2 linked regions of the Arabidopsis thaliana genome follow. The protein of the gene in region 2 interacts with the protein of the main gene of each other region in a pairwise test. Each region holds a gene or a part of one and is shown on either strand. Other genes may lie near its edges. The genes, in order: AT3G13670 and AT1G66650.

Evidence for each region.
Region 1: the proteins of AT1G66650 (region 2) and AT3G13670 interact in a protein complementation assay, tested with the Arabidopsis thaliana proteins (one large-scale study listed by BioGRID).

Annotation. Positions count from the first base shown.
Region 1 is NC_003074.8:4,467,361-4,474,257, reverse strand, and holds AT3G13670 (Protein kinase family protein), read right to left. Parts: upstream 5,106-6,897; 5' UTR 4,825-5,105; coding exon 4,441-4,824; intron 4,336-4,440; coding exon 4,207-4,335; intron 4,098-4,206; coding exon 4,024-4,097; intron 3,907-4,023; coding exon 3,837-3,906; intron 3,748-3,836; coding exon 3,692-3,747; intron 3,468-3,691; coding exon 3,396-3,467; intron 3,246-3,395; coding exon 3,151-3,245; intron 3,079-3,150; coding exon 3,012-3,078; intron 2,924-3,011; coding exon 2,794-2,923; intron 2,707-2,793; coding exon 2,488-2,706; intron 2,392-2,487; coding exon 2,249-2,391; intron 2,094-2,248; coding exon 1,919-2,093; intron 1,832-1,918; coding exon 1,741-1,831; intron 1,697-1,740; exon of another isoform or gene 1,632-1,696; coding exon 1,474-1,631; exon of another isoform or gene 1,371-1,473; coding exon 1,182-1,370; exon of another isoform or gene 1,084-1,181; coding exon 1,024-1,083; 3' UTR 718-1,023; downstream 1-717. Other genes in the region: AT3G13672 (TRAF-like superfamily protein), read left to right, coding at 1-13, 85-717; AT3G13662 (Disease resistance-responsive (dirigent-like protein) family protein), read right to left, coding at 5,788-5,793, 6,653-6,897.
Region 2 is NC_003070.9:24,859,212-24,863,638, reverse strand, and holds AT1G66650 (Protein with RING/U-box and TRAF-like domain), read left to right. Parts: upstream 1-1,817; coding exon 1,818-2,114; intron 2,115-2,833; coding exon 2,834-3,526; 3' UTR 3,527-3,722; downstream 3,723-4,427. Other genes in the region: AT1G66660 (Protein with RING/U-box and TRAF-like domain), read left to right, coding at 307-663, 894-1,583. UniProt on the Arabidopsis thaliana protein: E3 ubiquitin-protein ligase that mediates ubiquitination and subsequent proteasomal degradation of target proteins.

The sequences.
Region 1 (6,897 bases), on a different chromosome or scaffold from region 2:
TGCAATCTACGAGGTATGTATATCATATCATATTGATACTACTACAATAAGAACACAACAAGTAATATACAGATCCTATTGCAGTGTCCCAACGACCACATCGAAAACCCTAAGAAGAAACCGTACAATTGTCCACACTCAGGAGCCAAGTGTGATGTCACAGGAGATATTCAAAGGCTACTACTGCATCTAAGGAATGATCACAATGTTGAAATGAGTGATGGGCGTAGTTTCAGTCACAGATATGTTCATCATGATCCTAAACATCTTCATCATGCTACTTGGATGTTAACAGTAAGTTATATAACTGATTATCTTGCTCTGTTTCTGCAACTTTGTGAATTTTTAAGTTTTAACCCACTTGAAACGATGCAGCTTCTCGATTGTTGTGGTCGAAAATTCTGCTTGTACTTCGAAGCGTTTCACCTGAGGAAAACACCAATGTACATGGCCTTCATGCAGTTTATGGGAGATGAAGAAGAGGCAATGAGCTTCAGCTATAGTTTGCAGGTCGGAGGGAATGGCAGAAAGCTGACATGGCAAGGCGTGCCGAGGAGCATTCGTGACAGTCACAAGACGGTTCGTGATAGTCAAGATGGCTTAATCATCACTCGCAAATTGGCTTTGTTCTTCTCTACCGACAACAACACCACCGACAAGGAGCTGAAGTTGAAGGTTTCAGGTCGTGTATGGAGAGAACAGCCTGTTTCGATATGAATTCGATAATTAGGTTACAGAATTGGACAACTATAGAATATTTGGTGACAAAAATATCTTTTCTTGATTTAAAAATTAAATATAGCAATTTCGAGGGAAATGTGTAGGTAAACTGGTGATTATGGCTCAATCCCCTTCACAAGGGGGGAATAAACAACACAATCACCACATTTTTGCTTCACAATTCAACTGAAAAAAAAGAAGAAGCACAACAGAGCCTGAGAGGCCATAGGGTTGGATAAGGAATAGGAGCCGAGACTTAGAAACATATTTCTCTCGTCCTTCAACAGTTTTTACTAATAAGTCTCAAGATACAGTTCGGCCATAGCTTAACGATGCAAGGTAGAGATTCTTTCCCCATTTTTCCTGCACAACAGAAAATTGCATCTCCGGTATTGTTCATGGGAAGGGAGAAAAAGAGTTCAAGATATTGATTAGTAATCTTTTATAGCTGCTCTACTCACCTTGACGTGTGTGCTGGGGAATTGAGAGGTACGTAACGTCTCTTGTGTCTCATCAACAAGTCTACGACGTGGGATGCTTAGGATGAGAGCAGCTTGATCGGTTGTGGCTGCTGTTGATGTGATTCTGAATCCACCATCCCAACGCCTGTGGATGCCTTCACTTGGATACAGAAAATCAAGTTCCACAACCTGTAGAGGAGATATAAGCGAAAACAGGAGAATTAGAAATCAACGCGACAGATCCAAAACTGAAGGAAACGGAAGAAATTCATCTATATCGGTGAAGTCTAACCTGTTCACTGTAGCCAGAATTGCGGGACATAACAACACCCCATCGATTTCCAGCTGTTGCCATTGAGGTTACATGGAAGCCTTCTCTCCATTTCTTGTTTATCCACTTGAACGGGAATGAATCGCTTACTTTGTAAGACTGCTGTGTATACTGCGTACCTTCATAATTCATTTGAAAACCAAACATAGAATAAGCCACAAATTCAGAGACTAGTAAAATACCATAATGACGAAAGTGTTCAAAAGTATTCATGAAAAGTGTAGATACCTTTTGACATGACAACTAAGGAGCTTCCATTGCTTGCACCAGCAATAGAACTAATGTAGTAGTTCTTCTCCCACTGCTCCATAATCCATTCCTGATTCAAAACAGAATTCACTCTCAGGTAAGATCATCTTGACAGAACACAGATATAAAAATAACTAACAGAGAAACATCAGACAACCTTGTGCAAGAATACAGGAGAGAGTTCATAGACTTGGTGCGTGAAGCCAGTTCCAGCATCCATTATCAATGCCCAGAGATTCGAACATGATGATACACAGCTTATCAACAAACCATCTGCAATACCTCTCTCAATATGCTGTGCCAGTCTTATATCAGCCACATTATAATGATACCTGGTTAAACACATAAATTGTGAGTCCAAAAATAGTTTTAGACACATTAAGGCCAAAAATCCAAGATTATAATATAACCAAGAGAAAAAATGAGACACAAACGCAGTCCCAGCAGTTAACTGACTGTATAAATAATTAACCATGAATTTTTTTACCTCTGCTTCATTGGTTGCCTGGCATTGTAAATCGATATCCATTGCGTTGCAGGGACTCCTAGACGGACCTTTTTCCTAGGGGCATCTTCTTCTTCCTCCCCAATGCTCAACCTACCTCGCTTCTGGCCAACTTGGAATATGATCTAGCACAAAAGAAAACAATTACAAGATGTTAAACAACAACTCCTAGATATCCAAATAGGAACGAAAGGGAAAGATATACAGCATGAAAATGTCACCTTTTGAGCACCCTCTGTGTTTATAGGCCTAATTGCCGGATTTTCGCCCAAGAGGTCTTGAAACAGAGATACTAACTTTCCATAGTTGGGTTCTTCATCAAATTTCATATTTACCACGATCTCAAGAAATTGTTTGAAAGGAGGGGGACAAAAACAACAAAGCATATCCGGCGATGTTGCCATCTTCTTTTTGCAAACAAGGAATGACTTGTTATCTCCCTGAAAATTGAGTAAGAGACAGGATTAGCAGAGAAAGAATCATGCAACAACATGATTCTACAAAACAAAATGATAGGTCTGCAGTACCTGATATCCTTGCCATGGCAATCTACCTCGGTGAAGAAAGATCAGTGTATATGCTAATGATTCCAGATCATCCCTTCTGCTAGCAGTTCTCCCTAAATGAGCATGTGCACTTGCGTATCTAACTGTCCCTCTATAAAAATTAAGAAGAGAGAGATTCAACAAAAGGTAAGAGCGAGTATAAAACAAATTATATTAGGTAACAGTAGAAAATATATTACCTAAACATATCAGGACGTTGATCATATTCAACATGTTGTCCGCTACCACCTTCTCTCCACTTTGTAGCTGAAAAGTTGGTTGAAAAATGAGAAAGGTAAAGAAGAACCTAGCAAGAATAACAAAGAGAATGAAATCAACCTAGTCCCAAATCAACAAGAAACAGTTTTTTCTCTTGAGACGTTGAAGGCTGGCCGAGTAAGAAATTTTCTGGCTTAACATCCCCATGCACATAACTGAAACCGAAGTAAAACATGACCTGTTAGGCTAGTTAATAGAGAGAAAACATAAGAACTTAGAGGTGCCGAGACTCCAAACAGGATATCAGAAGAAACCTCGGACAACCTAATTAAATACAAAAACAAAAATAAAGTTCAATTACAAACCCTTTTGCATGCATCTTTTCAAGGATGGAAAGTGATTCAACCGCAATGCAAGCTACCATTTCCGAGGACATTCTGCAAAGCAAAAAGGGGGAGAAGAATTGTTAGGGAAGTCGATTTTTTAAAAGCAAAATGTTACTCAGTATGGACTTATGTATTTTTTTAAAAACAGGGAGTAACACCACATTTCAAGTCACAATTCCAAAAGAATCCAAATTAACTTAGGATACTCATGTATGGAAACAACGCTAATTGAAAAAGAGACAAGAGCTCCCCAAGGATGTGTAATGGAGACTCACGCTTGCCCTGAAGTATTCCATAAATCCCATAAGCTAGGCCCAAGCATGTCCATAACCTGAGGCCAAAACAAAGAAGAGAGGATCTAACTTCAATGATACAGACAGGAGAAAAAAACAGAAATAGGAGAAAGGGGGAATCCAGTACCATGACATAATAGTCTCCTTGCCTGCCTTTGAAATGTACTCTAGGGACTCCATGGCTACCACCCAAGGTGCTGTTCACAATAAAAGTAAAATGTCAATTTCACATTTCAAGTCAAGGAAGCACCTACAATCCAGGTAAATGAATTTAAGAAACATTGAAAGAAAGACAGGAGAATCGAAACACCCACTTGTAAACCTGCCACTCATGTGGAGGACCATAGTTGCAACCCTTGCTGCTCCTATGCTCAAACTTTAGAGCAACCTATATAAGAAAGTGAAGATGTGAGACACTGTAAGCATAACTAAGCTAATAGAATGATATTTATGGTGACAATCCTCCACAGCAGTAAACGCAGACTGAGTTATATTACCTCCAAGATGCTAGCTCCTGCACTACGATCATTACCGCCACTAATACGACGTCCGACAAATACTTGTCCAAAACCACCCTTCCCCAGCTTTCTCTCAACTTTATATAGTGGTGATCCTCCAACTTGAACCTGATACGGAATCGTTAGTCATTACCATAGAAAGATGATAAGCAAGCCTACAATGAAAAGTTCAATAACCCCAAACAACACAAAAACTATGCAAATCAATTATACCCTCTCAGGGAAAGGAGCAGTATTTCCTTCTTCTTCCTGAGCAGCCGCCTTGTTAGAGCCACCACTATCATTACCAATAGCCATATCTTTCTTCTCTTCTTCAACGACTACCTCTTTACCCTTGTTTTTATCGATATCGCTATCCTTAGACGGCACAACAACCGGAATCTCCTGAGGTATCTCTTTATCTTCCTCCTTTAATTTCCTCGCCGCTAATCTAGTCCTCGGCCTCTCTGCAACTCCTGTAACTCCGCCGGCAACCGGTTTTGGAGCTTTAACGGTACTCTTCTTCGGTTTCTTTTCTGTAGGTGTTTGCGGAAGCTGATTGGGAGCTACAGCATCAGTAACACGGCCACGGCGGACTCCACGGCGAAGCTCCGGCATAGCTCAAACCCCATGCAATCGAGACGGGACACGAAGAGTCCGATCATTATAGTCCTCCGAAAACGAGGGCCTGGGTCATGTCGGATTTGGTAAGCTATTTGATATATAATCGGAGATTCGATTTGCCGATGATGAAGATGGCGATTTAGGGTTACGACGGTTCAAGTTTGCGATGAGAAAAATAGAAGTTTATGGATGAAAGTTCCCAAAATGGAGAGAGAAAAGAAGACAGGCGATGTGAAAAAGGCGATATTTATGCCACGTCAGATATTCTGAAGAGGAAGAACCAAAAAAATTTGGAAAAATCAAATTAATTTTCCTTATGACAAAAATTATGTAATAATGATGTGAATGGACTTTTTTTGCGTCACACGGTCCGTGACTTGCGACTAATTTGGAAACAAACGTTTCACGTTTTTGTTAAGAAATAAAAAATTTGATTTCTTTTCTTACAATGGTTTTATATGTTTACTATTTTGAATGTCTTTTCTATTTCAAACAAAAAAGTAGCTAAATGTATTATTTAATTTCTCCGTGTAATATCAAAATTGGTTTTAGACAATAAATAGGTTTGATTTGGTGTTTTTTTTTTAAGGTTTGATTAGCTCGTGATTGGGCTAACTAATCATTATATTTATTTGAACATTTATTTTCTATCAAAATTTCAAATAATTTATTCGCTAATCAGTTGATGATTTTCCAAATTAACGCGGAGTAGAGCCTTTGTGCCACTTAATTTGACCAAAAAATGTATGTTTAATGTATATATAAACAACTACTTATTTATTTATTTTTTAGATGAATAAAATCAAACCATTACAAGATAAAATACATTATTTAACTTGGGAAAAGACAATAACACTCTCATAACAAAACGAGACATAAAAACAAATAAGTAATGAAATCAAATGAACAATATTCCAAACTTAATTATTTCAGTAATGCAGAATATAACAATTATATTCAACACTAGATTCACCGCGGAGACAATTCATTTTTTAAAATTAATATATGTAAAAATTTGTAAATTATTTTATAGTTTACAATTGTTACTAAGTAACATCCTGTCAAACTCGTCCCGCCAAACCCGTCCACAAAAAAAATTTATTTATTTTATTAATGTTGATCTTATTTATAATATATTTATGAATCATTGTCAAAATATTTTATTCGTTGCGGGACGTTGAATCCATACATTTTTCGCCAATTAGTTAATATATGTTCATTCTTAAAATTTTGAATCACAAAATATGACGATTTTTTTTTTGAGATTTTTTAAACTCTATATATTATATAATGATGTTAATTTTTTTGATATATTAAACTTTTTATAAATTTAAATATTAATAGTGTTTTATGAATTTTAAATATATAAATAATAATAATTAAAAAATTAATATTTTTTGCCTTTTAGGTAATGATATAATAATTCTAAAAGCAAGAATTTAGAAGATTTAAATCTTTAATTAAATATTTTCATGCCTGAATAATTAATGTCAGTAGCATGACATTGTAAATAAGTTCAAATACATGATTTGTTTATTTAAACAAAAAACGTTTAGTAAGAACAATATTTATTTAAACAAAAAACTTTGTTTTAAAATATTGTTAACAAAATACTTTTATGCTAATTTTAAAGGATTGATGTGCAGTTTGTTTGGATTAAATTTGATTGATAATGTGATTGACAATTTAAATTAAGAATTTAATGTAAAATTAATTATTTTGAAAAAAAAATTTAATGCTAATGGCATTGGGTTGTAAATAAGTTCAACTCTAAGATTTATTTGTTAAAATGGCTGCAAAAATGTATATGTAGATTGGCAACACCGGCCTTGAGATCAAACGACTTGGTGCGAGCCTCGACATAACCTCTAGCAAATCGAAAGATTCCACTACCTCCGACCACCGGCATTTCCCTAACCTTCGACATCACCACGTTCCGCCCAAGAATCGTTATCGTACTCCCATTGTACTTCCCCGTAGTGAAAGCAAAGTTCATCACCATCAAGAAGCCTATCTCTCCTTGGGCCGCTGCTACGTACATCCCTTGGGCTTGGCCCACCACAGTCG
Region 2 (4,427 bases):
GTAAGAAGAAGATGGTTGTTTTTCTGGAAGACAATGAGGATGATTTGATTGTAGTTCAGGCTTTCAAAGGACTCGAGGGCGTGTCTGAGCTGTATTGCACCTATGGCTTCGGAAGTACGCAACCTCTCATGCAGTCTAGCAGAACTCAACCAGCTTGGGGTTTTGAGTAGCCGAACCAAACCGAACCAAAAATCTTAGTTCCGTTTGGTTAAGTTTGGTTCGGCTACTCAAAACCCCCATATTAAAACGAAAGGCCCATAAGATCAGCATAGAGCCGGCGAAAACCCCATCGGAGGAGATTTAGGAATGGCAAGATCTGGAGGAAACGACGGACATAGAGCCGGCGACAGTCGTCTCTCGAAGAGGCAACGACTTCCTCCTTCTCCCGATGAATCTGAAGAGGAATTAGACCCAGAGTTGTTCGAAGAGCCAAGTAATTTAGAAGGATACGAAGATGGAGAATTCGAAGAAGATGAAGAAGAATTCGAAGAAGAAGAAGAAGAATTAGAAGAGGAAGAAGACGAAGAAGAAGAAGAAGAAGAAAACGTTACTACTGATGAACAATCTGGAAGTCCTAAATCATCCCAACCGGTGAAGCTTCAGAGCTCAGATGTTCTCGATTGTCCTACTTGTTGTGAACCACTCAAGAGACCAATCTATCAGGTTTCTTCTTTGATTCATAATCTTCATATTTGTATAATCAATTTGTAGATTCATAGCTTATTAGGTTAATGGAATTGCAGAATAAGAACATTTAGGTCACAGCTTATAATATATTTAGCTAATTGGTGTTAAAGGTTTTGGCTAACTCTCTGGTGGTTGTTGTGTAGTAAGACTGTTTTGGTGGTTGATGATTTATGGCTAAGTCTATGGTGTTTTTATTGTGTGCACAGTGTAGTAATGGGCATCTAGCTTGTTCGTCATGCTGCCAAAAATTGAACAAGAAATGCTCGTTCTGTAGATGTAACATCGGGGATATACGATGCAGAGCGATGGAGAAGGTTATCGAAGCATCTATAGTCCCGTGTCCAAATGCGAAACACGGGTGTAAAGAAACCACCACGTATTGTAATCAGTCAAGCCATGAGAAGGTTTGCAAGTTTGTCCGATGTTCTTGCCCTGTATCGAACTGCAACTACGTGAGTTCATACTCGAATCTCAAAAGCCATGCTTGTAGTACTGCACACGTTTGGGGTGAAGACGACATCCACTTCCAGTTAGTGATTGACCGTCCTAGAATTTTTAACATGAACCTTGGTAGGAAGAAGACGGTTGTATTTAAGGAAGAGAAAGAGGGTGATTTGATTGTTGTTCAGGCTTTCAAGGGATTGGAAGGTGTTTATGTGACTGTCAACCGTATTGCACATATGGCTCCGGGAATACGTGACTTGTCATGTAGTTTGGCTAAGCTCAACGAGTATAGCACACTAAGGAGTGGATCGTTGGTGAAGAAAATTCAGAAAGTGAGAGAGAAAATGCATCTTGAAGATGACTTGATGTGGATACCGCCTAAAATGTTGAGCGGTGACCACTGGAAGATGCAGATTTGCATTGCCTATGGATATAAATTTATTCACATCTGAAGAATCCTCTCAAAGTCTCAATTCTTTTGCTCTGCTCTTATAACTTAGAAGTAGACGGTCGTTGGATCATAAACCCTGCTTCATGTGTTATGTGAAAATTCTTTTTTAGAGATAAAATGTTAATTGTATTGGTCCGGGTTCGACTGATTTAGTTGGTACCGACTTGAACTCAAACTTAATACACTTCAATATGTCTCATTAAGTAGTGGCCGAGAGAGAGAGGGAGAGGGAGAGATGACGAAATTGGGAAGACGCAACGACGGAGGAGGAAAAAGCCACCGTAGCTCAACGAAGAGGCAACGGCGTACTTCTGTTTCCGTCGACGACCCTAGTCCCGGGGAAGAAGAAGAGAAAACCCTTGTGGTGCTTACCGATGATAGCGATTCTGAGGAGGATGATAAACCGCTCGGAGATGTTCTTCGAACATGCAGAAAACGGAGGGTTTCATCACCCAAATCCGTAACTCTCCCGAATTCGAATGTTCTTGAATGTCCCAATTGCTTCGACCCATTGAAAAAACCAATCTTTCAGGTTCTGTTCTTCTTCTTCTTCTTTCCATTAGGGTTTAGTGAAATTGCAAATGAGAAGTTTTTCGCTCAAGTATAATAAAGGTCACAACTTTATCTCCAATTGGTTAAGCCAAGTTAAAAAGGTCATAACTTTATCTCTAATTGGTTGAGCTTAAGTTAAAAGGTTACAGTTTCTGTATCCTTTTATGAATTAAGCTACAGATATTCCATGTTGGTTTGTTCTCTAGTGTTGTTTGTTCATTTGTTACAAATGTTTTTAGGTCAACGAGTTTCAGAAAAATCGATTCTTTCAATTAGGGTTTAGTGAAATTGCAAATGAGAAGATGCTTAGCTTAAGTTAAAAAAAAGGTCACAACTTTATCTTGAATTGGTTTAAGCTAAGTTACATAAAGGTCCCAAATTTACCTCCAAATTGGTTAAGCTAAGTTATAAGGTCACAACTTTATCTCTAATTGGCTAAGCTAAGTTAACTTTATCTCCAATTGGTTGAGTTAAGTTGAAAGGTCACAGTTTTTGTATCCTTCTATGAATTTAGTTACAGAAATTTCCATGGTTTGTTCTCTAGTGTTGGTTTTTCTTTGTTACAAATGTTTTTAGGTCAATGAGTTTCACTAGAAAGTGGAAAAATCGAATCTTTTTGGTTTGTGTTATTGGGGTAAGTCTAGTTTTGGTCAATGAGTATTGATTTGGTTAGCTAACTCTTTGTTTGATTGCGTATAGTGTAATAATGGGCATCTAGCGTGTTTCTTGTGCTGCATCAAATTGAAGAAGAGATGCTCGTTCTGCAAATTGCCTATAGGGGATGTTCGATGCAGAGCCATGGAGAAGGTTATAAAAGCAGGGTTAGTCTCATGTTCAAATGCAATATACGGGTGTAAACAGAGCACCACGTATGGAAATCAACTGCAAAGCCATGAGAAAGTTTGTGTTTTTGCGCCATGTTCATGTCCCATAAAAGATTGTAACTACATTGGCTTCTACAAGGATCTCATCAACCACTTTCGCGCTACACACAAAGTGAGTCCGGGTGATATCAACTCGTTTGTGTTCGACCGTCCTGTAATCTTTGGCTTGGATCTGGACAGCAGTGATAAGATGGTCATTTTTGTAGAAGAGAAACAAGGGAATCTGTTTGTAGTTCAAGGTTTCATCGGATCACACGGGGTGTATGCGACGGTCAGCCATATTGCACCTATGGTTCCCGAAGTGCGCAAATTCTCCTGCAGTCTAGCTAGACTCAGACCGTATAGCACACTAAGACTTGGATTGGAGGTGAAGAATATACAGAAATTGAGATCTCAAGAAGAGCAGCCTCAGGAGGACTTCTTGTTGATTCCATCTTATATGGTGAATGGTGATCACATGAAGATGGAGATTTCCATTGGCGATAAAAATGACTATACTCATATCTGAGATATGTTAGGTCAGTAGAAGTAGATGGAGTTAGAAGTTTAGTTTTGTCGTTAGATCATATCATTGGGACTCTAGTAGAGTTTTCCAATATTGAAATTTTTCTTTTTTTTTTTGGAGAATTCCAAATCTGTTGAAACGCAATGATCATCATGTAACTTTCCTTATTGTTAGCCCTAAACTAAATAGTTTTACAGTCAAATAAAAAGAGAAGTCGATCAGTCGTAGGATCTTATCATAATACATATAAACATGTTGCCAAATTTAAGAGATTTGCATATGCGCTTATATTCTCGTAACTTTGAAGGTGTGCTCGAAGCATATCAGATCATCAGCTGTATTGTTAATTAACATGTAATAGTTTCCACTTTCCACATTATAAATTGTTACATTTTGATAAAATATATAGCATATTAGCATATGTAGTAGTACGTAAGATAAGTCATCATATGTTTCCACTTTCCTCTTTTTGTGTTCACAGTTTTGCAATGGGCCACTGGCGCTTATTTTGCTTCTTGATGCAACATATTTAAAAATGATTGGCATGACTAAATAGAAAACTTATATAGTATTACTATGACTAGAGATAAACCTTATTTTTACAGGAGTTTTGTAATTTAGTTTAGTATAGTTTAGTTTCCAGGAGATAGCTTTAATCATTCGGGCTTACACAGATCTTATACCATTTTTGGTTAAACTGAAGAATCTTGTGTTTTATTTTTTTTATTTTTTGTTCTACATTATATATTTTCTACTCAACGTCAGAATTATTGATTAGCAAAAACATGACCTCGAGTCAAAAGAAGTGACATTACACATTAAGGCATAACATAAGATCTCCTTTAGATCTACAAGACAACAAAGTCACCACAATGAAGAAGAAAGTACATAGTTCACATTAATA